2 linked regions of the Sus scrofa genome follow. The protein of the gene in region 1 binds, or shares a complex with, the protein of each later gene. Links are inferred from orthologs where the notes say so. Each region holds a gene or a part of one and is shown on either strand. Other genes may lie near its edges.

Region 1 (16,608 bases):
AGCATATATTGAGACTCATTTGCAGGCACCTATTACAATAAACAGAAGGACCACAAAAATTAAAACAAGTTCCAAAGACTATCATGTATAAAAACTTCTGTATAGAATGAGGACAAGAATTCACCCTATTGAAAAACCATCTCCTGTGGTATACAGATTTTTTTTTTCATATAGAGAGAAAACTGGAGTTCCCTCTGTGGCACAACAGGATCAGTAGTACCACTACAGCACCAGGACACAGGTTTGATCCCTGGCCCAGCACAGTGCGTTAAAGGATCCAGCATTGCCATAGCTGGGCTTGGATCTGATTCTTGGCCCAGGAACTCCATATGCCTCAGGGAGGTTAAAAGACAGTGGGGGCGGGGAGATAGTTGGAAAACTGACCATTCTATACTTGGAATTATTTTTCCACTTGATCCAGTATTTTTAATGGTTTTTCCACTCCATAAATTAGTATTTGTTCAGTAGCTAAGAAAAAGTCCTATGTTAAATTATACCGAAAGAAATCAGGAACTTCCCTGAAAGGGCTAACCTTAATTGCCTGATGGAGGTTGAAGATACACTCAACCAACAAAAAGTCACACCACCAGGAAGCAAGGAGGGTTTGCTAAGCGTCAGCTTCAGTTCAGCCTCGAGAGATGAATGGTCTGAATGGTGAGAGAAACACAGGAAACAGGACGGAGAGAAGGAACAGGGAGTGAAAAACCAGAAACATGATATAGACAAGGGAAGAATACATGAAAACATACAAAAAAGAAAACTGAGAGGAAAAGAGAGGAAGGTAGAAATGTTGGTGGATTTACAAACAGACAATTTCCCTTGCCTCATTGTCAATACTTCATCATATGTGCCATTTTTACCTTTATTTATTCTGTTTTACCCCCATTATTAATGGAAAGTATTTAGGAAAAGAAGGAATGATCATCCAGACAGGTTCATCCATAGAAACTCATTCTGCTTTATTCTGAGTGGTCATTTTCCCCTTTCATAGACTCTCAAAGCTAGAGATGTTTAAATCTTCTTTACACTACTCATCTCCTCACATATTCCCAAAGTGGTTATCATGTTTCTTCTTAAATAAGTCAAGTGACAGTAAACTCACTGTTTTCAACTCTGACTAGTTGAAGTTTTTTCTTTCATCAAGCAAAAAGCTACCTTCCTATAGCTTTCATTCTTTTTTTTTTTTTTTTTCTTTTTTTGGCCGTGCTTGCAGCATGCGGAAGTTCCCAGGCCAGGTATCAAACCCGCACCAGAGCAGCAACCTGGGCCACTGCAGTGACAACACAGGATCCTTAACCTACTGTGCCACCAGGGAATTCCAGTTTTCACTCATTGATCTCTGGTTTAACTACTGACATCCTCCCAATATCTATGGACAGCTATAACATTTTCTTTAATTCTTATCTTATCCAGGTTAAATACCTCCCTTTCCCTCAATCTTTCTTCATAAGATGCATCTTTTAGTCCATCCATAGACACTTCCCTTTGAAATGTTTCAGTCTTTCCCTCTATTTATGACCAGTACCCAGCCTTGAGCACAACTCCCCAGATATGATCTGACTGGTGGATCACTACAATTTTGGCAAATGGCTATCTGCCAGGTACCTCACTTAATGCCCCTTTTACGTTTTTAAAAATACAGAAATAACAGGACTCTTACATGTTTTTCTTCAAACTGATCTCCACCAAAAGCTGCCACACAGGGTTTGATACCTCCTGTCCCCAAAGCGATTAGACTCAAGCCGACCATTGACAGGATGCTGAAATGGAGACGTGAGAATACTAACCATATTGATACTAAAAACAACTGTAGAAATTGAATATAGAGCTATAGGAGAAGAAAAAAAAATGTGTACAAGGGCTAAGACCTCCTTTACATTTCTACCCTCTGGGCATTTTCCACATACTTGCGCTCCTAGGGGAGACCCAGGGGCACTGACAATCTTTATAACCCTTGACATTCTGCCAGAAAGTATCCATCACATGGGAAGATTTTTGTCCCTGATAGTTTCATCTACCCCTTGAGTGCAACAGATAGAAGCAGATACTGAAGGAACGCCAAAGCTAAAGCACTGGTTCTCAATCTTGCCTTAGTCAAAGGGACACTCCAATAGAAACATCTTATGAACCCTTGTCCTACTTATCATTACTAACCAACAAAAAGTTAATATCATAATTAATAGGAGAGGTGCCAGTGATTTTTAATGGGATGACAAGAAAAAAGGTATCTAATATTTATTAAATTTCAAACAAAAGTCTTAACTCATGAGAAAATACATTATAAGCATGAATATATATGACCTGCTTCTTGAACAGCTCTAACCCTCTCTACTGACTCAACCAACAGACATCAAAATTTACCAAAAACCTCTGGCATCATAAACATCAATAGCTTCAGTAAAGAGGTATAGAGTAACTGGAATATATGGAACTACACATAAATGGAAATCATCTAAGTTTTGAATATGAATTCTACAATGTATTATAAGAAAACATCATAGATTTTTTTTCTTTCTTTCTTTTTTTTTTTTTTTTAGGGCCTCACCCATGCCATAAGGAGATTCCCAGGCTAGGGGTCAAATTGGAGCTGTAGCTGCTGGCCTATGCCAGAGCCTCAGCAACACAAGATGTGATCTGCATCTGTGACTTATACCACAGCTCATGGCAATACCAGAGCCTTAACCCACTGAGCAAGGCCAGGGATCGAATTTGTGTCCTCATGGATGCCAGTTAGACTCATTAACCACTGAGCCACGAGGGGAACTCATACAGATTATTTTTTAACTCTGGTAAAGTATAATGCATGGGTGGGTGAATAGGTGAGGGAATGTGGAGGACTTGAAGGTTTTCATCACTGTCTTCAAGCATATGAAGAGTTTTTATGAAAAAGATACTAACTAGTTATTCTACAAGTCCCCAAATGCACAATAACAATAAACAAGCCCAGAAAAAAAAAAAAAAAAAACAAAACAAAACAAAAAAACAGGAAAAAGTTCAGCTGATCAAAGATTTTTTTTTCTTAAGCAATTTGGTAACAAAATAGTAGGTTGGAAAATAAAGGGACATCTCTGGTAAGAAGACAGGAAAACATCCGTAATGAATACATGAGACATTTACCCATCCGATGGAGGGAAAGTGGTTTGGTTTATCCCATGATTTTACTCACGTGTGTATCATATGTCCCCCCAGTATTGGTAAGGCACCCAGGGACTTGATCACATGGCCAAGGACATACACCAAGGAGAGATAGATAATTGTCCTGTTGAGAGAGTTAAATTAGTCAATCTACAAACAGAATTCAGATATTTGAGTAATACAGACTCAGAGTTCATACTGTTCTCAGTGTCAGGATAAATGGAGTGGGAGGAGGAAGGAGTGGAGGAGGAAAGAATTACCTGAGAAACGCAAACAGAAATAATAATGGAGAAGGAGGCAAACAGACTAGAAAAAGAGACAGCAACTCTTCGCCCTGTAATGTTAGAGATAATGGACTTTCCTTTCTCATATCTGCTCTAACCTATTTCCCCATTTATCCCACATATGTGCAGAATACCCCTGATCTTGTACAAATATGTCAAGACCAGGTTGGATTTGTAGCAAGTGACAATGTTTTAAATTAGGAGAACCAGAAAAGTGGAATACTTTGATCAGAGGGCTTTTTTTTCTTTCTTTCAGGGAATGTCTTTGGCTCTAGAAATCCATAAGGTCAAGGAGAATGTCATGTAAACAGGAAAAAAAAAAAGGGGGGATGGCTAACACAAAGAACTTTCTCTAAATGCAATCACTGGGATGTACAGAGATATAAAGGGCTCTCGGGCTGAGTCTGGTCTTGCACACCTGGGTTAATTATAATCCTCACAATTTCCTCATGGACAATTTCCCAAGGGTAAGAAAGGAACCAGGGACTTTGAACAGACCGTCAAAGTCTGATAGAGCTCAGAGAGTTGGTAGGGACTTGTGCTATTTTTCAAAAAAATCTGAATGATAAATATGTACAGATATACACACTGAAATAAGGCACACTACCACACATACAACATACTTCTTACATGTATTACTACCCCAGCATTACATATAAGTAGAATATTAGTACTAGAAAGAACCTTGGAAATTACATAGTTTACTTCTACGATTTTAAAGTGTTATATGCTGATGTAAAAAGAAAAAGAATGGAATGAAGGTAGCAGAGAGAGGCTGGAGATTCTAGAAATCTCAGAATGTGCATTTCTCATTCTAAATGCCTAATCTTCCTAGCCCTTGGCTCTCCAGGAAACAGGAAAGGGACCTTAGAAAGTTTTATAAGGCACACAGGAGATAAGTTGAATGACTAAACCAGGGCGACTTAGTATCAGAGGAGGGGGCAGGCTTCCCCAAAAGGCCTTATAGTGTCTTCTGGAAAAAAAAAAGGTTCTCTTTGTTGGAATAAAAACAATGAATAGAAAAAAAAGGCATAAGAAGGGACTGAAAACGATCAGTATTATGAACCCAAATAAATGATCTATGCTAAATCATTATGGAGGAAAAAAATAAAAGGAGTCTGAGCTGGGGTGATAGAGTTTGAGTAAAGAGATCATGTCAATATCAGATTGTTACACTAAAGGAATGAGAGAAGTGTTAGGGGCCTAGGAGGAAAACAGGCAGTCCTCTAGGTGAAGGACTCAGGGAATAAGTCCAGAAAGGAAGCGAATGACAGAGAACTTTAACAGAAGGAGAGAGAATCCTTTTATTCTGCATACCGTGCCAGCCCTCCATCTGGATGGACTTGGTAACCACACTACGTAAAGACCAAACATAGATATCTGCCACCTGCCATTCCTCTCCAAGTCAAGAAACTGTGTTTAGAACTGCGGCAGCTGGAGCTCTATATTAGGTGCTGAGTAAACACTTTAGAATAATGAATATATATATATATTGCCACAGCCACAGCAACGCCAGATCTGAGCCGTATCTGCGACCTGGCAATGCGGATTCTTAACTCACTGAGCGAGACCAGGGATCAAACTTGCAACCTCCTAGTCAGATTCATTTCCACTGCACCACAATGGGAACTCCTGAACTATAAATTTTCTCATGGGAAGCAAACTCTATCATGCCTGAAATCAGAACAAGAATTGGTCTTAAACTACAGAATGCAGGATTAAAATTAAATATAAGGGAAAAAAAAAACCTTTTGACTGAAAAGGGTGTAAAAATATTGAAGAAATTGATAGTGAAGAGACATAACCTTTTCTGGATTATCAGTCTGAGATGTTCTTAGGTACCATGAGTGACACGAGTATGTTCCTGCTGTGAAGCAAGTGGCTAAAAAGTGACAGTCTCCGCAAAATCAATCTGTGAATCTTCTTGGGATGTGACCTCCCATTATCCTTACTTGAATTTTCCCAACCATGAGTCAGCAATGGCTGCTCCCAGGATGGGAGTGAAATAACAGAGGCTGCTGAAGGCGTGGTATACAGAGGTGGAAGTGTCTTCACTCCAATGCAGGAAATACAGGAAGTACAGGGTCAGCACAGCTGAGGCAAAAAAAAAGGTGGGGGGGGGGGAACAAAACAAGACAGACGCATTAAAATGATTTACGGAGAAGAACATTTGATCTGGTCTTTGAAGGTGATCTTCAGCATTCCTAACAGTGAAGTGACTGAGGGGTGACTGCTGGGCAGTAGAATTGGGGCCCCTCGGAGTTGTAGGAATGAAGCGGGTGATGCTTAGTGTACAAATACAATACTCCTCTCTTCAGTCTATGTACACATAGCATCACTTAGGCCAATCCCAAAGAACATGGAGCGTCTAATATCCTTTCCTTCCCAGTAACAATATAATCAATACATCTGAGGAACAGAAAAGAGGAAATGGAATGCCAATGATGAGAGTTTTTCCACTTATATTCTCATAGGCTGTGTTCTGATTTCCATTAGGCCCTTCTATTCTTGGCCTGTATGAGTTAGTAGGTGAAATCCCATGAGGCAGGTTTTAGAAGTCTTGGACAAAGGAAAGGACCAATTGGATGAAGGCAGAAAGAGTAGACAAGGGAAGTAACTGCATAGAAGACCAGGTTGTTACAAACATGGGGTGAAAGTGAGTGCAGAAGAGCAGGACTCTAGGACACAAAATTACCTTTCATGCCATAATAGGAAAAGCGCTCACAAAATTCATTCACCACGATGAAGGCAATGCTCAATGGATAGTTGGAGCCACAGATTTTCTGTAAAACAAAAAGGCAGTGGTTCAAGTATGAACTATATTTCCTTACTTAAACCACTAGATTGCTCCACAACAGGAAAAAAAACATTTATTTATTCTTTTTTTTTTTTTTTTTTCGGCCATGCCCATGGCATGCAGAAACTCCTGGGCCAGGGACTGAACCCGCACCATAGCAGTGACCCGAGCCACATCAGTGACAATACCAGATCCTTAGTCTAGGCCATTAGGGAACTCGATTTTTTTAAAATTTATTTTTTAAAATCACTCTTTAAAGTCACCATAATAGGTAATATGAAGCAATGGCCCCTATTTCTCATGAAACAGCCGGTACCATACTAAAAGTATTTGCATTGCTGATTTAGGAGTAAGAGAAACTATTCTGAATATTACTTTGTTCATCATTCATTTAACATGGAACTTCTCAGGCATCCATGATTCTAGACACCAGGACCTGTTCATCTTCCCACAAGTACTAAATGAAACATCCAGCGCCCCAGGCAGGAGAATAATGAAATTCATTTCTAGGAACAGAACCAAGAGTTGTCCTCTAGAGCATCTGATGTCTAAGCAGTTACACTTAGCTGTCAGTATACTTAGCTCCACTGTGCAGATTAACCTCTGTCCTCACCTGCCCTGTTCACTGTGCTTGGAGGAATCCTGGCAATATGAAGGCCTCCCTCTAAGTGGCTACTAGAGCCAGGCACAGAGCCCAATACAGATTCTTAAAGGTAAGCTGATTGAATACCTTCACCTTGGGCAGAGTTCTTAAATCTTGTCAAATTAAATGTCCATTCTTTCTATAAAAGAGATTCTACAGCATTTTAATGGTAATCCTATTGGGCATTAAAAGTACTATGCTATTTCAAGCATTATCTGTCAGAATATAAGGAATATCATGTTTCATTTCAAATTCCTACCCATTATGATGGCCCAACTAACATGAGAGAGGGATGGAGATATCTGTTCTTGGTTCAACCAAATCTTACCATGAGATTTTTATGGTCTCTTCTTATTAATAAGATACACACACACACACATCTTTGTGAGCAAGCTTAAATTCTTTGGGACCAGAAGAGATATAACTAAATAAATAAATGATAAATTAATACATTAATGTATCCAATCTTTTATCCATATAGATATAAACAACCCTCCTAAATATTAATATACATTAATGTATGATTAAAAACTTGCTTGAAAGATACAGTGAATTAAGTTCTTTACCTTTTAGCTCACAGTTTGAGAATTATGCAACTTCAAGTTTAATTAGCACACTTTTACTAGCTATGTAACACTGTCATTGGCTGTGTTAACATACTGCCCCCGGTGTATCACTACACTTGTCTTTATACTTCAATTCTATTATTCCAAAGAAACTACCACCTCTAGAACACTACCACCTCTTTGTGGTAAGAACTCATTAAATACTGGCTAATATTTCTATATCCTCTCCACTTATAGGATTTTGATATGAAGATTGAAACGAGATAATGAATTTGCAAGTGCTTTAACACGTATACAAAACATTATTATCACTTCCTTGTTTCCCTGTTCCTTCCCCCACTGTAAACTGAAACACATAATAACAGACCTTGGTGTCCAGCATAGACTCTACACACAGGGGGAACTAAGGGTTGAGTTTTTATATTAGTAAAGAAAGAACAATCACACACAGTTCTCCAGAAAGGAGTGCTTGCCAAGTTTCCCTGGACGCTCAAAGTGCTTTTTTTCCCACCCTAGAGAAACTCAGAGTATACAATGAAACACATCAAAGTCTTAGATGCCAATTGAAGAACTCTGACTACCTCTTTCTGCTGCATCCTCTCCTAAGTAAAGGAAACTTCTGTTTAGACTTGGTTTACAGGTTAACTCTAAATCCGAGAGAGAGAAGAGTTTTTAACACTGTAACACAGCTCAGCCTGAAACTCTAGAGGCCAAGGAGGAGAACCAAAAGAGCAAGTATGTTCCTGTCAGAGGCAGAACTGAATCTGAGGACTCACCGGAGATGGCTTCTTTGGAAAGCTGGGGGGTCGAGGTGGTACTTCTTCAGTGGAGACAGGTAAAAAAAGTGTTTCCTTGGATTCATTTTTCTGGAAGGGATTCATGGCTGGCTCCTTACTCTCTCTCTCTTCAAGCATTTGGCTTTGGTAGGCAGTCGGACAGCTGCCAGGCTACTGTGAAAAGGGGGACTGGGAGGGGAAGAGGGGGTGGCTTCGGCAACTAGGTTTAACCCCGTGGGTGTCGGGCTTCAGCAGCTGCCTGCAAAGTAGAAAGCTATATAAAAGAAAGGATCGAGTCTTAGAGACTAGTTCAAAGAATGATTATGTTAAAGGTAGAGCACAAGGAAGAACACCACATCATGGGCTGGAAGAGCATAATGCTGGAGAACTGCAAATGGATGAAAATTAGTAAGACTACACAGACCTGGAGCATAGCCTGGAGCACAGATTTCAAAATTGATTTCAGGGTAATAATAGCCACCACTTGTTGCACATCTACTATGGGCAAAGTTTATATATACATACATATATTATATCTATACCCATATGTTTTAATTCTTACTACTATCCTCGTTTTAAGGAACTAATAAACAACAGGTTATGTAATTTGCCCAATATCATGTGGCCAGTAAGCAGCAGATCTGGAATTTTCGGTATGCCATTACATATAGATTAGTATCAGTAAAGCCTATGGTCCTTTCTCGGGAATGGAGGCTATATGGAAATGTAAACATAGGAACATAGGAATGCGGGGGAACTGAAATGCATTGAAGAGGGAAGGTCATCTCCAAAATGAATTTGGATAGAAAAAAACATTTGGTTTTCAACATAATAAAGTTCAACTAGAAATATCCTATAAGCAATTAAATAGGTCTTGGTCATGTACATTTGGGAATAATTCTTCTACTTTGATAAATTTATTTTCTCACGTCAAGATGAATCCTTCATGACATGAGGAAATACAATTTAATTTGCATAAAAATTAGGAACCAGATATTTTCTAGTTACTATTACAAACATCATTTTCCTTAATTTTCAGTGAATGGACTTCCCAGTGACTCCAGAATATAATATTTATTTCCTATCAGAGGAGGAACAAGAACAGCCATGACAATGATAGATGTACTTTTTACAGTATGATTTTTGCTAAGTCAAAGAGGCAAAATAAGAACAAGAGAGTATGGTGTCCATCTAGCTGTCAGTCAAAAGAGAAAGGAAAATAATGGCAAGACAGCAAGAAGAAAAATGAAGACTAAACCAACAAGGAAGTCAGGAAACAGGGGAATGAATTATTTTATTTTAGAATATGAGAGAGAACCTATGACTCTATTCCCTGTAAAGTTCTTCCATTACCTGTTTGAGTAATTTGTTGACAAGTAAGGCCAGAATAAACTCTATCCTCTCTTTCCTAAACTCTATCTTAGACTTTGACCATATTTTCCCAGCTTCTAGTATACCTCTTATCCCACTTCTCTCCCACCAATGAAAAAGAGTCCAGCTTCATTTCAGACTGTGACATTAATGATTAAGCTGTAGTTATTCTTTCAGGAAGCACTGCCCTTTCTGACCTAGTTTGGTTAATGACTCTAGATGCAAAACAAATGAACAGTCAGAAGTTACTGGTCAAGTTAACCACTAGAGGCACAAATGTCTTTAAGATCTAATTATATCAGTGGCTCCCCTTGCTCTGACTTGATAGCATTTGATCTGGCAGAGCAAATGGAATAGCACCTGTGAACAAAGCACCAATTCATTTGTGCTCATAGGTGCCCTAAATATCAAACTTTAGAGTATTGGCATTGGTTCTCATACTCCTTTGTTTAGATGAAATTCTTCTTTTAATTATGCAATACTATGCTAACATTAATAGAATCAAATAATATCAGAGATGGAAGGAAACTTAATCTTGTCCTATGTAAACTAAACTTCCCTAATGATAAAAATCACTTAGGGAGGGAGTTCCTATTGTGACTCAATGGGTTAAGAAACACAGTGTCCGTGAGGATGTGGCTTTAATCTCTGGTTTCGTTCAGTGGGTTACAGATCCAGTATTGCTGCAAGGTGCGGCACAGTTTGCAGATGCAGCTCGGATCCGGTGTTGTAATGACTGTAGCATAGTCCTGAAGCTGCAGCTCTGATTCAAGCCCTGGCTTCAGCTGATTCCATATGCCATGCATGTAGCCATAAAAAAGAAAAAAAATCACTTAGGGATATCTTATATATATAAATTTCCAGAACGATTCTCTCTCTCTCTCTCTCTCTCTCTCTCTCTCTCTCTCTCTCTCTCTCTCTCCTCACACACACACACACACACACACACACACACACTTAAAGGCCTTTCCTTTGAAAATTCTTATTCTCTAAGGAGGTATTTAAGAATGTATATTTTAATAAGCATCTATGGTAATTCTTAGAACAGGGGTTTGGTGAACACTGGTTTAAAATCCTTCTCTTAGTCTAGCCTGAAGAATATTACAGAAGGGCTCAGACTAGAATCCCCACCTTCGAGACCTAAAGCCTTTTTCCTCCTTATCAAGATGCCTCTTATACACCATTTTTGCTAAGTTGAAATCAGATAGAAGGATAAAAGGGAAAAGATCAAAAAGAAAAACAACTTCTGAATAGAAATGAGTACAAACACTTCAGGGGCAAAAAAAAGCAATAAAAGTGGAAGAACCTAAAGTATGTGATAAGAGTAAAAAATACTTGTGACCTCAATGATTATGACAGAAGAGAGATTTTTTTTTCTTTTTGCACCTGCACCTGCAGCATATGGAAGTTCCCAGGTTAACTCCATATCCTTAACCCACTGAGTGAAGCCACATATCAAACTTGCATCCTCACAGACACTATGTTGGGTTCTTAACCAACTGAGCCACAATGGGAACTCCAAGAGTGATATATTAGGCTATGTACAGAAAAGAAGCTCTAAAATGACAGACACTCACATAGTTAGAAAAGGCAATTAAAAGAGAACATGTGTTTAGCAAAGTGCATCAATATAAAATTACATAAAAGTACATTATTTAAATATAGCAAAAACAAATAGAAAAGGAAATTTAAAAAATTATACTGCTATAGTAGCATAAAAAATACCCAGGAATATATCTATTGAAAGATGTTTAAGACATCAATACTAAACACTTAGAGTATTAGTATGTATTTTTATGTAATTTTTACAGTTCATTTTATATAAATTACATCATTTATTTACCTACTCCTACAAATGAAGGCGCTCTCAACCTCTTACGAATACATTTTTATGATTTTTTTCCATTCTTATTAAGTCTGACTCATCTCGTAAAGAATTGGAAATTACTGGAGTTCCTGTGTGGCGCAGTGGTTAACAAATCCAACTAGGAACCATGAGGTTGCGGGTTCGGTCCCTGGCCTTGCTCAGTGGTTAAGGATCTGGCATTGGCATGAGCTGTGGTGTAGGTCCCAGACGCGGCTCGGATCCCACGTTGCTGTGGCTCTGGTGTAGGCCAGTGGCTACAGCTCCCTTGCCTGGGAACCTCCATATGCCGCGGGAGCAGCTGAAGAAAAGGCAAAAAGACAAAAAAAAAAAAAAAAAAAAAAAAAGAATTGGAAATTACTAAAATAATTATTACATGAATGGTATCTAAATGATATAATTCCTAAATCTGACATGTCTAAGAATGCTTTCTTAACAAACTGTGGATGATATTTGATGAATACATGATTCAGAGGTCACACTCGTACCTTTGTGCAGATGCAGCTTTACTAACTTTAGAGTTCAAGTGCAGTGCTATGGGATAGTTCAAAGCCCACTGATTTTTGTTCCTTTGTAACCAACTTACTTTCCCTACTCGCATGCTTACATTATCATCAGTTTCATCAATCTATTCAGAAAGGTCAAACTAAAAGAATATGAGCTTATGTTAACTAACCTTATTTTAATAATAATTACATAATATATACAATATCTAATCATCCCATTGTACACCTTAAATTTATATAATGTTATCTGTCAATTCGATAAAGCTGGCAGGAAAAAAAGGTATGTGCTTAGAATCATGTGAGGATGGTTCTGACAGTGAACCTCATATCTGAGAACTTGTCTCATCCACTGATCCCCACATTTCAATGTCTGAAAATGCATCAAATAAAAATAACACAGAAGCCCAAGATATACTATTTCATTCCTTTCTAAGATACTTATGTTTACCCTTAAGGGGGATAAAGAATGATATGCTAGGTATTCAACCCATAAAAATAATTTTAAGAACATATTTCATTTATGGGAGAAATAATAGAAGAGAGGAAGGACAAGTTGTTTTGACTGTGGGAGGTATATTCTGAGAACATAATGTGTGTTATATAGTCAGCATTATCAGTTCATATCACCATGAACTCATTTCTGGTAAACACTAATGAAATCTCAGCATAACAACTTTCAGTAAAAAACATTATAATTTGTATTCCTGCATTAAAATAATAAGCTACTTGGAATATTCAAGCTTGCTTATTTTTTTCATTTTGGCCACATCTGCAGTATTTGGAAGTTCCTGGGCCAGGGACTGAACTGATGCCACAGCAGTGGCCTGAGGCACAGCAGCGATAATGCTGGGTCCTTAATCCACTGAGCCACAGAGAAACACTCTTTTCGAGCTTGCTTTAATTAAGTAATATATAACATAGTTTTTGGCATCGATGAATAAAATAGAAATAAAGGTGAAGACATAAATAGGTTATGGCTGAAGATGGGCCAGAGAGAGAAAGGGAGAGAGAAATGGGAGAAATTAAAACCAAACCTGGAGTTCCCGTCATGGCTCGGTGATTAACGAATCTGACTAGGAACCTTGACGTTGAGGGTTCGATCCCTGGCCTCGCTCAGTGGGTTAAGCATCCGGTGTTGCCATGAGCTGTGCTGTAGGTCGCAGACACGGCTAGGATGTGGCACTGCTGTGGCTCTGGCATAGGCCAGTGGCTACAGTTCCAATTAGACCCCTAGCTTGGGGACCTCCATATGCCGTGGGTGCAGCCCTAGAAAAGACAAAAAGGAAAAAAAAAAAGAAAGGAAGAAATTAAACCCAAACTTAAGGATTAAAAAAAAAAAAAAACAAAAACTATAGAACTTGTTATGATAAGAGGTGAAGGTGGATAAAATATTTTTTCATAATTGCCAAAACTTGGAAGTAACCAAGATTCACTCAGTAAGTTACAGGATAAATAAACTATGGTACATCTAAACAATGTAATATTATTCAGTGCTAAATAGAAATGAACCATCAAGCCATGAAAAAGACATGAAGGAAACTTAAGTGCATATTATTACGTGAAAGAAGCCAATCTAAAAAGGCTGCATACTGTATGATTCCAATTATAAGATATTTTGGAAAAGGCAAAACTAAGAAGAGGGTAAAAAAATTATTGATTGTCAAAGGTTGGTGTGTGGGGGAATGAATTGGCAGAGCACGTTTTTTTTGGGCAGTGAAACTATACTGAATGATAATACAATAGTGGATAAATGTTATTATACATTTGTTAATACACACAGAAAGTACAACAACAAAGTGAACTCCAATGTATAAACTATGGACTTTGAATGATGCTGTGTCAATGAAAGTTCATCAATTGTTAAAAAAAAAAATGTAGGAGTTCCTGTCATGGCACAGTGGTTAACGAATCCGACTAGGAACCATGAGGTTGCGGGTTCAATCCCTGGCCTTGCTCAGTGGGTTAAGGACCTGGCGTTGCCATGAGCTGTGGTGTAGGTTGCAGATGCAGCTTGGATCCCGCTTTACTGTGGCTGTGGTGTAGGCCGGCGGCTGTAGCTCTGATTTGACCCCTAGCCTGGGAACCTCCATATGTCGTGGGAAGCAGCCCTAGAAAAAGGCAAAAAGCCAAAAAGCCAAAAAAAAAAAAAAAAAAGTACCACTCCAGTGCAGGATGTTTATACTAGGGAAGCTGTGCATGTGTGGGAACAGGGATATATGAAAATTCTCTGTACTTTCTGCTTGATTTTGCTGTAAAATTAAAACTGCTTTTAAATAAAGTTTATTAATTAAAACAAAAAAAAAAAAACCTTGCTGCTGGTCAGTGGCTTTCAACTATTATCTAATATCTATAATTTCCTCAAAATTCAAAAATGTTTTAAGTGTAAATATTATTTATCTCATTAATAGATCTTCATATTTTTACCTCAAAAGCAAAATAAGAAAATGATTTTTAAAAATATCTGAGAGAAGAGAACAAGACAAATTATGTGACAGATAATGGAGCAAGTGTTTCATTAAAACAATTATTTAGCTTCACCTTCATGCTAAATTATAGCTTAGTTTTCAACCAAAATGTAAGGAATATCATATAGAAAGGCTCAGAGATATAATCAAGACCAGGGACATTTATTATAAATCAGTAGTTCTGACATTTCATAATTGAAGACAGCAGTATGATAAAACAGAACACTGAACTTGAACTTTAGAACAGTTGATCTGACACTTGTTAACTAACAGTATGTGGGCAAATTACCTAACTTCTAAATTTGTTTTCTCATCTGTAAAACTTCAGTAGAGTTTCATTAACATTAAACAAAACACATGAAAATGCTGGTACTCATAAATGGTAAAAAAAAAAAAAAGTAACATTAACTGAAAATTCTGAATCACAACTTTATCATCAAAAATTGATACATTTTCCTCAGCCCTAGGAATTTTTATTCATAATATAAAATAAATTATCACGTCTTGAAAATTTTATACTTATTGTTGAATATTTCTTCAGTCATCACTGTCACTTCCTGATTCACTCAGCTGCAAATCATTTCCTAAAATAAAAAAGCATTAACTGTGGTAATTAAATATTTTACCTATGTTTGGATCACAGCAGATGTCATTCAAAATATAACCACAAGGGGATCCTGTTTAGCTAGCATTTTGTCTTTAAGTATCAGACTGCTTATCCTATAATTAGTCTCATTATTAGTAACTCAAATAATACTGTCTGTAAAGAAAAAAATAAACCATCAATGTTCAGCATAGTTTTAGTATTATCTGGCATCAATTTTAGTTTTCTTCTATATACCAACATCATCCTTTATACTACTGATTTAATTACATCAGAAAATGAGAAAATGTGCTTTAGAAGATAACACTATTTTGAAGAGTGAAAAAAGTTATATAATTTTTTACTTAAAATTCAGTCAAAATCATTAAGTAGTATATGTTAAGAGCAACTTATTATTGATTCTTTTTTTTTTTTTTTTTTTTTGGCCTTTTTTTTTCAGGGCTGCACCTGCAGCATATGGAAGTTCCCAGGCTAGGGGTTGAATCCCAGCTACAGCTGCTGGTCTACATACACACAGCCACAGCAGTGCTGGATTCAAGCCGCGGCTGTGACCTACACCACAGCTCACCACCACACTGGGTCCTTAACCCACTGAGCAAAGCCAGGGATCAAACCCACATCCTCATGGATACTAATCATGTTTGTTACCACTGAGCCATGAGAATTCCCTCGTCACTGATTCTTTTGTAATCATCCCTGTGCTTACAATCATGGAACTGACATTCCAGTGGGGGGGGGGGAGAGTAAACAAATAAATATATAATGTAATATTCACCCCAAGTCGGAATAAATACAATGAAAAAATGAAGGTGGGTATGAGGAGAGCAGTGTGAGGTGCTATTTTAGATAGTGTAGTTAGGAAGACCACCTTGAGGTGGACATCTGAAAAGAGATACAATGAAGGGAGAAAGTCATGAAAACAGAGTAGTGGGGAAAACTGCCCAGGCTCAGGGAACAGCAAATACAAATGCCCCAAGACAGAAAAGCATGCTTCTTGTGCTCTCTGACAGCAAACCACCACTATGGCTGAAGTGGAATGAACGAGAAAGCGAATGGAAGGGAAAATGTCTGAAAGATATCCAGAAGACCAAGGTGTGTAGCTCACGGTAAAAACTTTAGATTTCATTTGAAATGTAATGGGAATTCAATTCACTGGAAAATTTTAAGCAACCAACTGACTTGAACACTATTATGTATCAGTGCATAGACTATAACGGTGTGGAAAAAATATGGATTCAGGGAGAACAGTTATGAATCTATGCAGTTCCTCATGTAAGAAATTATATCGGCTTTGAGAAAGACAAATACTGTATGATTTCACTTATATGTGGAATGTGATACACAATACAGTTGAACAGAAACAGAAACAGAATGATGAATACAGAGTGAAAAACAGGTGCCAGGGGAGAGGGATAGAGTGGAGAGAGAAATAGGTGAGGGAGATTGAGTGGAACAAACTTAGTTTTAAAATAAATAGTCACAGGTAGGACCCATGTAGAGTGTAGGAATATAGTCAATAACTGTGTAATATCTTTGTGTGGTGACAGATGACAACTAGACTTATAATGATGATCATTTTGAATATATAAAAATATCA
Region 2 (16,508 bases), on another chromosome or scaffold:
GTGTACATGACTGATATAAAGCCTCAAGGTGTGGCTATGAAAGCTGGAGTCCTGGCTGATGATCACTTGATTGAAGTGAATGGGGAGAATGTAGAAGATGCCAGCCATGAGGAGGTGGTTGAAAAGGTATATCCCAAAGGAGTACTTTTCTTATCTTTCATTCCACTTTCTTTGGAAATGACAGGGAGCAGGAATGGTAGTTTATGATGGGAGGAATATAATAAGGGGAAGCTAAATCTTTGTACTGAGAGCACACAGACCCATTAGTGATGCAAGCAGTGTTAGTATAGGGTTTGTGGATAAGGTTTTTGCCAATTTTACGTTGTTTTAAAGAAAGATGTTCTAAGAACCATTGATTTATCTTTGGGGTCTTATTTATAACTGATTGGAATCCTCCTCTGAATTTAAAATAAATTCAGTGTTGAGTCAATGTTACTAAAATGCTTCAATATAAGCTGGAAGATAACCAAGGTGGGTGATGAATATCGAGATGCACGTGGGGAGTCAAACTGGAAGGCCCGTTATATCCCAAATCTTACGCCCCAGCATGGTGCTGTGATGCATGGAAAACACTCAGACATCTTCCTCTGGGCCATAGGGAACCTGGAAAATTGACCTACTTTATCTTCTCTAGGTTGAAGGATCTTTCAAAGCAGACCTTTACTTTCTTTTCCTTTCCAAACTCCATTCCTAGTCTTCACCTATGTGCCTTTCCAAGTTTTCTGAATTCCAGCTCACAACTGGGTTCCCTTAGCATCTGTGTGGGTGAGGTCATACTTAAAACAAAGGGAAAAACAACTGTAGAAATGATAAATGCCAGTATTACAGCCTAAACTCCGGCCTTACAACCCATATTTCCTGTTGAATCTAGAGACTATGTGCCTCTGGAAACTTTTCCCAGCATCATTCTTGGAGATTGAGGTTGGTCCTCACCTGTATGTGTTGCTGCAGGTGAAGAAGTCCGGAAGCCGTGTTATGTTCCTGCTGGTGGACAAGGAAACTGACAAGTACCATAGTGAGCAGAAGATAAAAGTCAAGAGAGAAACAGCCAGTTTGAAACTGCTACCCCACCAGCCTCGGATTGTGGAGATGAAGAAGGGGAGCAATGGCTATGGTTTCTATTTGAGGGCAGGCCCAGAACAGAAAGGTAAGGCAATAGAAGAGCAGAAAACCTGGCAGTGGAACCATCCAATTCTTTATCCCAGCCTGACTCCTGCGTTCCATTAGGCCCCCACTCCCCATCAAATTCATAGAGGAGACAGTAAGAAACTAGAAAGCATAGCTGGGTCAGTTTCCACATTATGTGGTGGCCTGATGATGGGCAGCCCTCGGTTTCCATAGCAGAATAATAAGGCAGAATTTGGGATCTGGGCAGTAGTATGCTGGTAAATTGGCTCTCTTGGGGGAAAAAGCCCCAATTTGTAGCATGTGTTGTTGTTGTTGTTGTTTGTGGTGTAAATACTCCCACCATGTCTGATTTCAAGCTGTCAACATGGAGTCACAGACTGCAAAGTTGAGAAGTTCATGCAAGTTTGGCTCTCAGAAACTGCTGTGAGCCAACACCACTAGATCTGAGGCAGAGGTGTGGGCTGGGATCTGGGACTTGAATAGAAGAGTCTTTCTGATTCCTTGTAATTCAATAAAGAAACGACAGTGGTCCTCCTATGGAAGCTGAATACATTAAAAAAAAGTGTTGGTTCAGGCCATGCAAACTCTTATTCACCCAGAAGCTGCTAGTTTCTTTTCATTGTATTATATGTATATAGTTATGAAATATTAACTTGGTTCATATTATATTAAAAACACCCTTGGGGCCTTTGAGAATATCAAGCGAATCAGACAAGAATTCTTCAGTCAATGAGCCTTCTGTTTAGCAGAGGAGATAAGACACATATGTCCACAACCGAAGATAGATGGCAAGAAACACCTTAATACAGGGGCCGATAGAATATTGTGGAAATTCAAGGTTGCAACAGATTTTTCTCACAGAAAAGGCACTGGGAGGCCTCATAGTAAAGGTAGCACTTGAGCTGAAGCTTTGTAGTATGAATAGAACTTGGACAAGCTAAGGGGTGGGGACAAAGAAGTCCAATCCAGAGATAGGATTGCATGAATAAAGCAGGGAAACATGGGCACAGTTTGATTGGCATCTAATGTGTAGCACAGAGAACCAAGTTAGAAAGGTAGGTTGAAGAGAGGTGATGGAGGTTTAGTGCCAGGTTGAGGAGTTTGGACTTGGTTCTATGTCAATGGGGAGTTAAACGGTTTTTGAGCATTGTGAGAGAGAATTAAAATTAAGCCTTCAGGGCCTTTGGGGCTTTACACATCTCAATTACTTCTGATAATTCTGCAAGAATTGCTGAAGTTGAGGACTTGAAGATACAAGCATTATAAGGTCAAATAGTTGTGGTATATTTAGTCTCAAGTTCAGGTCTGTTTGGTTCTAAAGCCCATGCCCACGTTGTGCTGACTGACTTGGTCAGACACGGCATCAAGATGAAGCTGAAGGCAGATGTGCACTGGAGAAGGTAGAATTCAAGACAAGAAATAATACAAACTGCATTTTGTGTAGAGGAACTAGGCCTAGAGGAGCTGTTTAACATACTAAGGTAGCATTGAAGGACTTAGTTGACTAGACATGGAGAGTGGATGCTGAGGAAGAATCAGCTGTTAAGTGTCAGTGACAGGGGGGAAATGGTGCTCCCACTAACAAGTGACCAAGAGGAAGGGCCTTGGAATGGGGAGATGGCCTAGATGGTTTTTGGTTTGAATACATTACACTTGAGGAACCTATGGGGTATCCAGTTGGAGATGTCAAGCAACTAGCTTTTTTGGAAAAGTAAAACTGGAACTTGTTAAAACTGTATGAGGGACACAAAAGGTATGAGAGATGTGGAGGCATCTGGTGAAGACAGTTCAGATCAGAAGGCTAAAGACACATCTTGAGGGAGTGTCTGTTGTGGCTCAGCAGTAATGAACCTAACTAGTATCCATGAGGATGCAGGTTCGATCCCTGGCCCTGCTCAAGGATCTGGGTTAAGGATCTGGCGTTGCTGTGAGCCATGGTGTAGGTCGCAGATGTGGCTTGGATCCCACGTTGCTATGGCTGTGGTAGGCCAGCAGCTGATTCAACCCCTAGCCTGGGAACTTCCATAAGCCACAGGTTTGGCCCTAAACAGCAAAGCAAAAAAAAAGCAAAAAAAAAAAAAAAAAAAAAAAAAAAGACACATCTTGTGTCATGCACACAAAATGCATTCACAATCAAACATGCCCAACTGCTACTAAAATGCCAGCATGGATTTTCTAGGGTCTGAATTCTTTGGTTTTGTTCATCATTCTTCTCTTTCTCCTGCTTGTGGCTTAGCTCCTACATAAGATGTATGGATACAAGCATGCACACCGATTTCCTAGGATCTTGGGACCCTTAATGCTTACCATGCTATTTTGTCAGATACTTTTAGTAACAACATGATTCTTTAAGATCCTCTCGTTATTAATGTCTGGGTTTGTTCCTGGAATGAGTTCTGACCAAAGAACAAGGTCTACTGGGATACATATAGACGGCCTAGGGTGCCAGTGGGAAGGATGGGAGCTGTACTCAGCAGGCTTTTTAATCTATTTTATAAGGCCCTTAGGCTCCAGCAGAAACATCACTGTTTTTTAGGGATCTTTCTGATAATTTTATTTATTTAGGGTTTTTTTTTTGGGGGGGGGTGTAGGTCAAATTGTCAAGGACATAGATTCCAGAAGTCCAGCAGAAGAGGCTGGCTTGAAGAACAATGACCTGGTGGTTGCTGTCAATGGCGAGTGTGTGGAGTCCCTCGATCATGACAGTGTGGTGGAAATGATTAGAAAGGGTGGAGATCAGACTTCATTGTTGGTGGTAGACAAAGAGACGGACAACATGTATAAACTGGTAAGTAACACAAGGCCATATATTCTGGCTAAGTTACCACTTTGACTCTTCATCCTGGAAGGAACATAGCAATCATCATTAAGCCTGCATGAAAGCTCAAATGGGTAAGGAGAATGCCAAGTGATTGATACATGAGTTTTAAATACTTAGATTGAGGATTTTAGAAAGAATTTGAAAATATAACTGCAGAATTTCTCTTGGTGACCTGAGAAAATCTATGAAAAATATTCTGGAAATAAGCAGATGTAGCCCTAACTTTCCCAAATAGGGAACAACTGGATTCTAAAGTATAGACCAATAAGTAAGTTCTGTCATTCCCATGTAAAAGCCTGGGAGGGATTATTAAACAGTTTATAAGTCCTTAACAAGGGAATAGAATCATAGCATTAACCAAGATCAAGTTGTGTCAAACCTTATTTCCTCTTAACTCTTAATCACAACAGCTAATCTGCATATTTTAAAGTTTTTTTTTTTTTTTTTTTTTTTTTTTTGCTATTTCTTTGGGCCGCTTCTGCAGCATATGGAGGTTCCCGGGCTAGGGGTTGAATCGGAGCTGTAGCCGCCGGCCTACGCCAGAGTCACAGCAACGCGCAATCCGAGCCGCGTCTGCAACCTACACCACAGCTCACGGCAACGCCGGATCGTTAACCCACTGAGCAAGGGCAGGGACCGAACCCGCAACCTCATGGTTCCTAGTCGGATTCGTTAACCACTGCGCCACGACGGGAACTCCATATTTTAAAGTTTTTATAACATTTATTTTATCATAAAAACTGAGGTTCACTCTAGCTTAGCAGAAATTTGGGGACCTTCTTAAGTACCATCTGCCTTGCTGGGTTGGTTACAAAAATGAACAAAGATGAACTTGTTCTATGTGATATACAATAATGGATACATCCAAAAGTCTGTAAATGATATAGAGGGAGGAATATTATGGGTGGTGGTGGTTGTGGTATTAACCTCCTTTTTAGATTAAAACCTGAAGCTTAGAGAGACTAAGTGATTGGCTAAAGTCACCTAGCTTAGTAAAGACTGAAGCCAATATATGAATGCAAGTTTTAATTCATTATACCATATTCCCTCCAAGCACAACACTTTGATTAGATATTTGAAGAGACCTGTATAATGAAAGGTAAAGAGTGAACTGGATGATAGAATAATTAATGGGTTTTTAGCCAGTTGAACAACCATACCTAAAAAATACGTGACATTGGACAATGTCAACCTGAACAGGTGTCTCTAATGAATGGTTGCTTGTCCTATCCTAGTTTATTATTACCTGTAAATGGAGACATGGAAAATGTATTTGACATATGTGATACAGATGACTTAAGTCTGATCATGGATAATTAATTTACTAGAGACTATAATTAATATTCCAAGTAGTATACTAACTTAAAGCTAAATTGTATGAATGCCAAACGGTGAAACCTAATTTGATGACTAGAAAAAGAGCACAAACTTGATGATACTCTAAGTAGCTGTCCCCTCCCCAAAAAAGTCAATTTAAGGTTATATTAATTGACATTGGGCTTTTGGAGATGATAGTAGTATTGTACTGAGTTGGTCAGACTATACTTTAAACTACCGGTGGTGTAATCTTGGGCAAGTTACCCTCCTCATGCCTGTTTCCATGGTTGTAAGATGAGGGTAGCTACTGTGACGGGTGGGTATGAGTGTTAAGTGAGTTAATATTTAGAGCATTCAGAATAATGCCTTGCAGTGTTTTATATCAACATTGTGTCCAGTTCTGAGAACCTCACTTTAAGAAGGCCAGTGTCAAGAAAGGTAACCAGGGCAGAGGATTTACAAGACATTATGTGCATATTCAGTTGAACAAGCATAGAATTTGGGGAAGAAAGGAGAACATCTCCAAGAATTTAAAGACTAAATGGTGACTATGTAAGGTGATAGATGTATTAACTAATTTGTGGTAATCATTTCACAAGGTGTATATATATATATATATATGTATATATATATATATAAAATCAACATGTACAGCTTGAATATATACAATTTTGTCAGTTATACTTCATTAAGGCTGAGAAAATACATGAAGCAAAAATTTACAAAATTAAAAAGAGAAATATACTTCTACAATAATAGTTGGAGACTTCAATATCCCATTCTCAATAATGAATAGAACAACCAGACAGAAAAAAGCAAGGAACCAGAAGACTGGAACAACACAAACCAGCTAGATTTAACAGACAAACACAGAAGACGCTACCCAACAACAGAACACATGTTCTTCTCAAGTGCACATGGGATATTCTCCAGGACAGACCATATGTTAAGCCACAAAATGTCACAATAGCCAAATGATGGAATCAATCCGATGGAATCAATCTAAGTGTCCACTGACAGATGAATGGAATTTAAAAATGTGGGGTGTGTGTGTGTATATATATATACATACATACATACATACATACACACATATATATATATATATATATATATATATATATAAAAAACATACATATGAATTTGAAAGGCATTCTATGGGGCACAGCTTGACCAAACAGAGAAGCCATAGGGAGCTAGCTTTTGGCTTAAGGACAACTGAAGCTTCCAGGAACAAGCTCTGCAGAGTGGGGGGCTCCCAGTTTGTGGAAAAGGTCAAGCAAAAATCGTAAGGTCACTGCTGTGGCTGTTTAAAAGGAATTCCGGTATGAAGTCCTTTTCAACACTTCCTAGTCATATGACAGAATGACTTAACTATAATTTAATGTTCTGGTTAAAATGAGAGAATTTGGATCTAGAAAAATGACTGTCTCTACCTTCTTTCTCCCTCTTTACCCACTACCCTATACCCCCCAAAGTAAGTTCCATAGGTAGGTAGGTGGGTTGTGGTTGGATCTTTGATATATATCAGTGAATACAACTCCTAAACCAGTTCCTGACATCTACTAGACACCCAAATGTTTGAATGAAGAAAGAGTAAAAGCTCAGTAAGTGTTTAATGTTACTGTACTTGGCCTCAATATTAGCTGCTACTGTCAGATAACGGTTGATTTGCTTGTTTGGGTAGTGATGTCAGAGGCATTTTTTGCATGTGATGAGTCATTCTGATAATTTCCCACATTCTAAAGAGAGAAAGAAATGCGGAGCATTTGCAAGTATATCACTGAAATGTTTGAAGTTATTAGCTAAACTGGGTAACTAGGAGGTTCTGTGCTGGTGCTACGCTTGTTTAGAAAGGCAGATGTAGGACAGATGATACCAGGACCCCAAATCCAATTGCAGCCAGGCTGCTGAACAGTAAGCTCAAGGGCAGAGGATGTTGTACTCATCTTCAATTGCTTGATTTTCTACTCACTGCCAACAAATGTCCTGGACAGCTGTGCGCAGCAATTTAGCTGCTGATCCTAGACCTTATGGTACCCAAATATACTCTTTTAATCCTCACAACTAAAACCAACAGCCAGCTAAACTCTTTATTCCCTCTCATATTCATATATATATATATATATATATATGACAACAAAAAACCCAGTCACATGCTTCCTGTTCTCTACCTCTTTTTGCATTTAAGACAATCACTGCCTTCTTCATATGGATTGTCTAGAGTTGAGATGGATTAGAAGTATTTAAAGATAGTGAGTCTAGTATAACAGAAATGTCAGGTGATGGTTACAATAATAAACAGTATTCAAGATTGGAGGGGGAGGTGAGAGAACCAAGTAGCAAAGCATTGGAATTAACTTGTTACCGTATGTGACCAACTGTGTGATTGCCACCACCCTCTACCCCTCTCCCCAATTAATTACTGTGCTTCAGATAGTGATAAAAATACTGTCTCATGTTTTACTTTCTCTAATGTGTTTAAGCTCTGAAGACCACCTTATTGAAGGGGAAGGGCCAGGTGAACCTACTTTGCCCAGAATACTGGGCAAGTCAATGTTGATAATTTCCCAGCAAGGAGAACGCCTGTAGTTTGTTCAGTGACTCGCTCAATATCATGGAAACAAAACCCAGTAATTCTGGTAGACTTATTTTTGGATTCTTGTACAACATTCTGTACTGCTTTTATTTTATGTATACATACATTTGTTTACATGTTTATGCTCATTACTCCTTAACAAGCTCAATTTTGCTTTATATCTCTTCTGTTTGGGTCATAATTATATAGCTCACAACCAGATGTATCTGGAAGAGGAGTGGAACATGTATGACGCCTTGTAAATTAAACCAGCACACTTAAAGTGCAATTTCTAATGTTTTTTCCCCCTTTGTTTTCAAAAGGCTCGTATTTCTCCTTTTCTCTACTATCAAAGTCAAGAACTGCCCAATGGTTCTGTCACGGAGGCCCCTGCTCCTGCTCCTCTGGAGGTCTCCAGTCCAGACACTACAGAGGAAGTGGGAGATCATAAACCTAAACTCTGCAGGCTGGTTAAAGGTGAAGATGGCTATGGCTTTCACTTAAATGCGATTCGGGGTCAGCCAGGCTCGTTCGTCAAAGAGGTATGGTGATCTGGTTCTGGCAGCCCAATGAACACAGCCAGTTAGAAGGGCCTCAGTTTCTCTCATTCACTGATGCCTCAGTAAAAAGTACACTGAGGGTCTCCTTGGGTTCAAATATGTGCTATAACGGTCCCGTACCATTTAAGATAGTTGCTAGCATGTCCCAAGCTCACATCTTTTGTTTCCTAGACATCTGTTCCACATAATTGTCTCTTTAATTACTTTAAACAGAGTAAGTTGGCACGACTGCAGTTGACAGTCACTAACAACTCTGACTGGGAGTGATACTTGTTTGCTTCTGTGCATTTGGCATAATGCCCCTACCCTGCAGGGACTGACAGTGAGATGATTGCTGCGAAAGCTCTCAAGTTGGGAATGAAGAAGGGGGACCTATGAAACCTAATGCCTTCAACCCCAGAAGACATACAATGTGATATTCAACCACTGTGACACTACTCATTTGAGTGGGGAAGTTGTAGCTTTTACAAGCAGAAAAGCACTAGAGCACCATTCTCAGCTTCTGTATGTCAAGGTGAAATAACATCACCTCTCCTCTGAAGAATAGCTAGTCTAATCTTCTGTTGTCCGTGTTTGGAGGTGATAACTCAGGACTTCTGCTCACAGGTACAGAAGGGCGGCCCAGCTGACCTGGCTGGGCTGGAGGATGAGGACGTCATCATTGAAGTGAACGGAGTGAATGTGCTGGATGAGCCCTATGAGAAGGTGGTGGACAGAATCCAGAGCAGTGGCAAGAATGTCACGCTCCTAGTCTGTGGAAAGAAGGCCTATGATTATTTCCAGGCTAAGAAAATCCCTATTGTTTCCTCTATGGCTGATCCACTAGATGACGCCCCTGATTCTAAAGAAGGAACGCTGGAGGAATCGGAGCATGACTCGCACACGGCAAAAGAAAGAGTGAGTGATGACACATTTCTTTTAATGATCTGACTAACCAGAGTATAGTAAAGTCCTTAATAAGCGCATTACACATCTATGTTTATCTCAGATTTCCTAAAATACTAGAAAATTACAGTGTAACAAGAACTAGCACATCCAGTTATTGAGGGGGAGAGAAGGTAAAGACAACACACTTCTTATTTTTCACTGCGTGGAATTGACAGTAATTGCCTAAAGTTCATAAATCGAGAAATAACAGAAGCTTATCAAAATTATAACAGGAACCACCAGAAGAACCTGAATCAGACTCTTTACGTACAAATTCTGGATCTGCCATTTATCATCCTTGGCCAAATGGATTTATTCTCTGTGCCTCATTTTCCCCACCTTTAAAATAAGGATAATTTGTAGGATTGTTATCAGGATTATGTTAAATAAGATTTTTAAAGTGCTTTGAACAGTGCCTAGTTCATGGTAAGAGTGAAATGAATGGTGGTGGTTAGAGACAGTATTGTTCTTATTATTCAAGTCTATTACTAGGGAAGAGTAAGCATTATTCTATATGTACTTAGATTAGATAAATTCCTTGGTAAGTCTCAACCTTTCACAGATGAACTTGAGAACTGACCTATCCAAAAGCGAACTGACCTATCCAAGTTCATAAAGGGAATGTATAGCAAAGCCAAAACGCTAATAAAAGCTTTATACACTTTCCATTACATTAATTCTACTGATTGATAATATATTAAAAAAATACTCATTAAAAACTATTTTTTTGGCCATGCCTGCAGCATGCAAAAGTTGTAGGGCCAGGGATCAAACCCACACCATAGTAACGACCTTTGCCCCAGCAGTGACAACACAGGATCCTTAACCTGCCACGCTACCAGGGAAATCCCAAATACTCATTTTTTTTTTGTTTGTTTTTCTGCCTTTTTTAGGGCTGCTCCTGCGGCATATGGAGGTTCCCAGGCTAGGGGTCTAATCGGAGCTGTAGCCACAGGCCTACGCCATAGCCACAGCAACGTGAGATCCGAGCCACGTCAGCAACCTACACCACAGCTCACAGCAATGCTGGATCGCATTAGGAACCTCATGGTTCCTAATGGGTTTCGTTAACCACTGAGCCACAACGGGAACTCCCCAAATACTCATTTTTAATGAACACATGCTTAGTCTGTTTGGGCTGCTAAACAAAATATCATAGACTAGGTGGCTTATAAACAACAAGCATTTATTTCTCACAGTTCTGGAGACTGGGAAGTCCAAGATCATGGCACTGATAGATTCAGTGTCTGGTGAAGGTCTTCTCGCTTGCAGGCTCTTGACTTCTGGCTATGCCTTCACCTGGTAGCAGGGGCTAAGGGGTCTGGGAGGACTCTTTTATAAGGGCAGTAATCTCAGTCATGAGAGCTATGTCTTCACCTCCCAAAGGCCCAACCTCTTCATAATATCACTTTGCGGAACAGGATTTCAATTTATGCATTTTGGGGAGATACAAATATGCAGATCATAGCACACATGATAGCCACTGAACTTGTATTCTGGGTTGTTTCACAAAAAATGTATTCTAGGTATCTTTAAAAAATTCTATAATATCTCTATAGGAAGTTAATTATAGTACTATGCTAGTTTGGTAGAAAAGGCGTATGTGTATGTGAGTGTGTGTATAGACACACACACATTAAGAAATGTGTTAGTGTCAAACAAAGCCAAATGTAGAATTTGGGTCATCTGGCTTCTAGTGAGTGACTCTACTCCCTGACTTAAGCCATGCAACCCTGGAACAGATCATCCATTTCCTGATGTTCACACTCTTACCACTTATAGATCCTCTGTTTTCTTTTTCACAGGCCAACAGTACAGCCTCTCATTCTTCTTCCAATTCTGAAGATACAGAGATGTGATGAGAACAAGTAATGGCTTTGGCTGATAACCATTTCTGGGTATTTAATAGGAATCCTTTCCCAAGGAATGAGCTGCCACCAGTTTACTTTCTCTGTTAGAAAAGACTCCTCTGGAAACCAGTTCATCATATGTGATTGTCTTCTGCTGTCATCCATCTTAGGGGTGGCTACTGCACATAGCTTATTTATGGTCAGCTTAGGAAAAGTGAAGGCAGGAGCCAGATGCTTTTCGCATAATCTCTTTCAAGCTTCAACTTAACTACATTTCTCTGTATGATGTTATCTCTTCTATAGGTTCTTAGAGCATCAAAGACAATTCATAAATCTGTATATGTGAGGGCTGCTAATTAAAGTTTCTGAACAGATAAGCCTTTTAAAATTATGCTTTTGTAAAAGAATGTTGTTGTTGCTAAAATAAATGGCATTAAAAATGTCTTTTTTTTTTTTTTTGTCTTTTTAGGGCCACACCCACATTAATTCCCAGGATAGGGGTTGAATCAGAGCTGCAGCTGCTTGTGTATGCCACAGCTCATGGCAACATCAGATCCTTTAACCCACTGAGAGGGGCCAGGGATCAAACCCGTGTCCTCAGAGAGTCTCTTATTCCAGTTAACAGTTACTCATTGTTTTATCCCACAGTACGAGGGGCAGATAAAAAGAAAAAATGAGATATCATCACTGACTTAAATTTAGAGTAATTCACAAATAATATGAAGTTGAGAGGAAATCAAGAAAAATGACATAGTCTGAAGTCTCTCTTGGCAGAACATTTCATTTGTACACCATTTCTTCCCCAGAACAGATAATCTTTTGGTTATTTTCATGGGGCCAGGGTTGGGGAGGAGGGGCAGGATACCAACTCACCTTATACAAGCATAATACCAAGCTATCTTTGATAAAATGAAACTAAGGCCAAAGTATTACAACCTCTGATTTTAATGATAATCAATCTCAAGGGAAAGTCATAACCTTCTCCATGTGATCCTTGACTTAAACAGAAACCCTATGTTTCTGGCCCAGCTACCTGACATGTCTCTTACCCTAGAGTTCCAGTGTATTTTTTCCCTTTAGTTTCTCTGCTCTTTTCCACTCCTACCACCCAGCATGCTGCACCAGCCTCCGACCCAAACAGGTTGGCTGAGGACTAGCTCGAGTTACTCCTCTTTCTCATTTCCAGCTGATGCTACTCATGATCACAGTATCATCTGAGGAGGAAGGCGTAAACTGGAGGTAAGATATGCTACCACAGCATATTGTTTAAAAAATATTAAGTCCTGGTCCCCCCTCCATTTTTTCCCTCTTATATCCAAATTCTGGCATCAGTGGCCTGCAGCAGTCTGTAATAGGCATGAGTTCAAGGTGCCATATGCTTCTCTGGTGCCTGTTTGTGAGCCAAATAGAGGAAAAGTATGCTGGAAAGAGCACTGACCAGGAAGATCACATCAAACCAACGGTGATAGAAGTTGAACTGCAGCTCTCCAAGGACTTCGGTGACTATGGTGCGGTACTCCAGGGGCATGCTCATTCGGATCAGTAGCACCGAGGAGACGAAATACATGCCCTGTAAGTCCAATTAATCCAGAAGTCACTTTGAATGCAGCGACACACGAGTCAAAGGAAATTGTTAAATAAGGAAATATTTAAAAGGATAAAACACATTTCTGGTATTTTACAGCTGTAAACATAAAGCTAGTTCATAAACTCACCATTATCTGTGCTAATAGCAGGACAATGACATTGGAGGACTTACTGCTGGAGATGGCATAAAAGAACTAGAAAGGGAGGAGAGGTGGATTTATACAGATTCCTGTGTCAAAAACATTACATAGTACGGTTAACATTTAACAGTGTCTCTTCTATGCCACAATCCTGCATAGAACCATTCAGATGATTAAAGCTATAAATAAGAGATTTAACTAGATTGCCCCAAAACGATCCACGTATAGTTTTCCCATACGGGTAGTTGGTGGTTTTAAGTATTATAACATGAAAGGAATCCAACTGCTATCAAACTTTTTAGAAACTATGTGATACATAAGACTTTATCACCATTATAACACATTAAAACAAATTACCCTGGGCCACTCTAAGCCTTTGTAATTGTTATTAGGCTCCTGAGCTCTTTCTAAAATTGTGCTAGATGCTTAGAGATCCCCTCTCCCCTCCCAGCCTCTTTTCTCCTTTCATTCGAACACCACTTGGATCTTGAAATCCTTACCTCTTCTACCAGAGAGGATTTACTTTCCAGCTCCATGAAGCCTTCCTATGTTGACCAGAAAGCATTCTGCTGCTCCTACTTCCATATTCTCCTTACAAGCGACTCAACAATTATTCTTCTAATCTCAAATTCTATCTTATTTATTTATTTATTTATTTATTTTTAGCTATTTCTTGGGCCGCTCCGGCGGCATATGGAGGTTCCCAGGCTAGGGGTCAAATCGGAGCCGTAGCCACCGGTCTACGCCAGAGCCACAGCAACGCGGGATCATTAACCCACTGAGCAAGGACAGGGACCGAACCCGCAACCTCATGGTTCCCAGTCGGATTTGTTAACCATTGCACCACGACGGGAACTCCTATCTCATTTATTTATTATAGATATCTGCTCAGTACCTACTATGTACCAAGTTCTGTTCTAGTTGCTGGTGACATAATCAGTGAGCGAAGCAAACTGTGATCTCACTCTATGACTTTTGGCAAATGTACTTATCTAATCGGTGTATGATGTAAATACATCATCAATTTGTGTATTAGTTTAAATTTTTCTTTTATTCAGTTTTATGTCTTTTAAATATCTGTGTCTGCTAAGATCTCAGAAGGCAGAAATCTTTATTAGGTAAAATGATCTTGTAGTGCCACGTGTAATAAGTACTTTTAAGTTCTGTGATACAACATACCTTGGTAAGAGTGATCAACAATCCTCTGATTGATGTGACGATGATTATTCCAACTAGAATGAAGGAAATGTGTTGGGACCAGAACTTCACCTGTCATTATATTAATAAGAAAAACATTTGTTAAATCTCTGTTGAGAGAGATGTGAATATGAAGAAGATGCATTCCGATTGCTTATGTGACGGTGAGTAGGAACTTCATTAAGCCCTACGTGATTTAAAAAAATTTTTAGGGAGGGAGGAAGGTGAGTAAGTGGCAATGAAAAGACCTATAGCCAGACTGCAAAGGATATCTTGATTAGCAGACTTAACACTAATAAATCAGAAGACACAGAGCTAATGACATAGGTTCAAGCGAAAATCATGAATTAAAAGGAAACTAAATAGCAGCCTGATAATGTTTAATATTTGTGAATGACAGTCCTCTAAACACCCAAAACTTTAAGGAAACTTTCTTTTTATAAAATCTATAGACATTCTCAGCTACAATCTAGGAAATAGCTGAATTTCATTTGAATCACAAGAGGATACCCTGTATCCTCCTGGATTACTTCAGAGTGAGAGGCAGCTGTGATACCCTGTGCTTGATTCAGGGCTGAAAAGCATCTTAGGGGGAGCTGTATTGGTAACATCTAAGAGATGTTATTCAGAATGATGAAACATGGAGTATGCAGATGAGCAATAGATGGAGTACATATCCATACACAGCAACTAGCCTTGGAAAGCACTGATAAGGAGGGGCATTTCTAAAAATTCACCCCAGTAAAAAATTTAAAAGAGGAAAACATACGTAACGATAGTAGAACATACTTTACCATATAGTTTATATACTACTTTAAGGAGAGACACCATGCTCCTTCACATGAAAAAGGATACACGACTGATCTGTCATCAGAAAGTGTGTGCTTTGAGCTGTTTCTCAAGGACTGGAGCTCAATTTGCTCTGGTGTATTTTCATTTTATCCAGCTACCAGGGGATGTCCAGCTGAGGTGAATGGCTGAGGGTAGCATGAAGTCTGTGGCCAGGATCATAGCATAGCTAAATGCCTTATAAGAACTAAAAACATGACATTGGTCTTATTATCGAAGTGCCAATCAGCTAGAATCATTGGCCATATACCTAGAAAAGACACTATTCTACAAACAAAAACATTAAACTTAAATTGGGGAGTTCCCTTGCGGCTCAGTGGGTTAAGGATCTGGTGTTGTCACTGTTATGGCTCTGGTTACAGCTTTGGTTCAATCCCTGGCCTGGGAAATTCCACATGCTGTGGGTGTGGCCAAAAAAATGGGACAAAAGTGTGTTTAATAACAGAGGTATCATAAAACAGGTAGAACGATGATTTAAAAAAAGACTTTGTACACAGATGACAGTTACCATTTTTAGCTCAAAGTTCACAGGAATTGATAGATAATTTTTTACAGCAGGAATCATTTCAGTTCTAAGATGAAACACTAATTAGTAGTTATTCTTCTACCTGAAGAATCAAAAGTGAGCTATGTGTTTGAAGATGTCATCAAGTATCACAGAGAGAAGAATTCGAATATTTGGTGGGGAAAAGCTGGTGAGTAGTAGTTGCTACAGAGAAGTAGAGGAGGGATTATAGAAATAATCAGTATCCATATCAATAATAACTGTCAGTCATTACTTAGGGTTTTATGCCCTTTATAAATCTGCCACATGAATATGCCAAAATATACAGCAGAGTGAGAAGAACAAAAGCAGAAACAAGTATCTAAGGTAAGGAGTTGGAATTTAAAGAACGGTAATTTATAGCAAATAAAATAGAAAGAAACATAACAAACTAGGATTTTGATACAACTCTTACATCAAATTGGATCCCCAGATAATTCACAGTGATTTCAATGCCTCTTGTGACTGGATCAGTTTTCCCAACTCGGTCAAAAACGATATTAATGGTTGCCTGTAGAGATACAGACCTTCACATTGGAGTATTTTAATCACTATTTCAAAAAAAAAAAAAGATTCAATATAATGACCAAAAGTATCTTACAGGTGGATATTCCTAAAAATGCAGTTCCACTCCCAATCCAAATCATATATAAGAAATTTATTTTTGCTTTTCACATATAGGCAAACCAAAGCCCCTGTCTATCCTATCTTTCTTTTCTGTAAATTGTAAAGGGGAATACAGCTATGACATATGCAGCTTAATTTATTAGGAGCCAGAAAAGCAACATTCTGGTAGACAAAGTCAGGGTAAGAGAATCAAGAAAGTCTAGGGTCATTCGTGTGATTATTTTCTGAAAGCTCTAAGAACAATCACTAAAACAACAAAAAGACAAGCCAACTAAGAACATCAAGTGGAATTATGAAAAACATCCAAATAATCCAAAAGAAGCCAGAAAAAAAGCAAAAAGGGGAAAAAAGAACACGAGACAAACAAAATCAATAGCAACATA

The links.
Region 2: the proteins of SLC15A2 (region 1) and PDZK1 are in contact, whole or in part, in a crystal structure (PDB 6EZI), measured with the Homo sapiens proteins. The link is inferred for Sus scrofa from reciprocal best matches to the Homo sapiens genes SLC15A2 and PDZK1. Residues at the interface, in NP_066568.3 of Homo sapiens: Glu723, Thr724, Lys725, Lys726, Thr727, Lys728, Leu729; in NP_001188254.1 of Homo sapiens: Asn386, Gly387, Tyr388, Gly389, Phe390, His391, Leu392, Asn393, Ala394, Ile395, Arg396, Gln407, Tyr436, Glu437, Val440, Ile443, Gln444.

What each region holds. Positions count from the first base shown.
Region 1 is NC_010455.5:138,624,216-138,640,823, forward strand, and holds the start of SLC15A2 (solute carrier family 15 member 2), read right to left. Parts: upstream 8,307-16,608; coding exon 8,202-8,306; intron 6,203-8,201; coding exon 6,115-6,202; intron 5,514-6,114; coding exon 5,372-5,513; intron 3,260-5,371; coding exon 3,167-3,259; intron 1,761-3,166; coding exon 1,661-1,760; intron 1-1,660. Other genes in the region: EAF2 (ELL-associated factor 2), read right to left, coding at 14,945-14,991. UniProt on the Homo sapiens protein: Proton-coupled amino-acid transporter that transports oligopeptides of 2 to 4 amino acids with a preference for dipeptides. Transports neutral and anionic dipeptides with a proton to peptide stoichiometry of 2:1 or 3:1.
Region 2 is NC_010446.5:99,645,546-99,662,053, forward strand, and holds the end of PDZK1 (Na(+)/H(+) exchange regulatory cofactor NHE-RF3), read left to right. Parts: coding exon 1-126; intron 127-951; coding exon 952-1,147; intron 1,148-3,719; coding exon 3,720-3,916; intron 3,917-8,167; coding exon 8,168-8,386; intron 8,387-9,010; coding exon 9,011-9,301; intron 9,302-9,306; exon of another isoform or gene 9,307-11,136; coding exon 11,137-11,190; 3' UTR 11,191-11,625; downstream 11,626-16,508. Other genes in the region: Golgi pH regulator, read right to left, coding at 12,545-12,751, 12,897-12,962, 14,088-14,177, 15,914-16,009. UniProt on the Homo sapiens protein: A scaffold protein that connects plasma membrane proteins and regulatory components, regulating their surface expression in epithelial cells apical domains.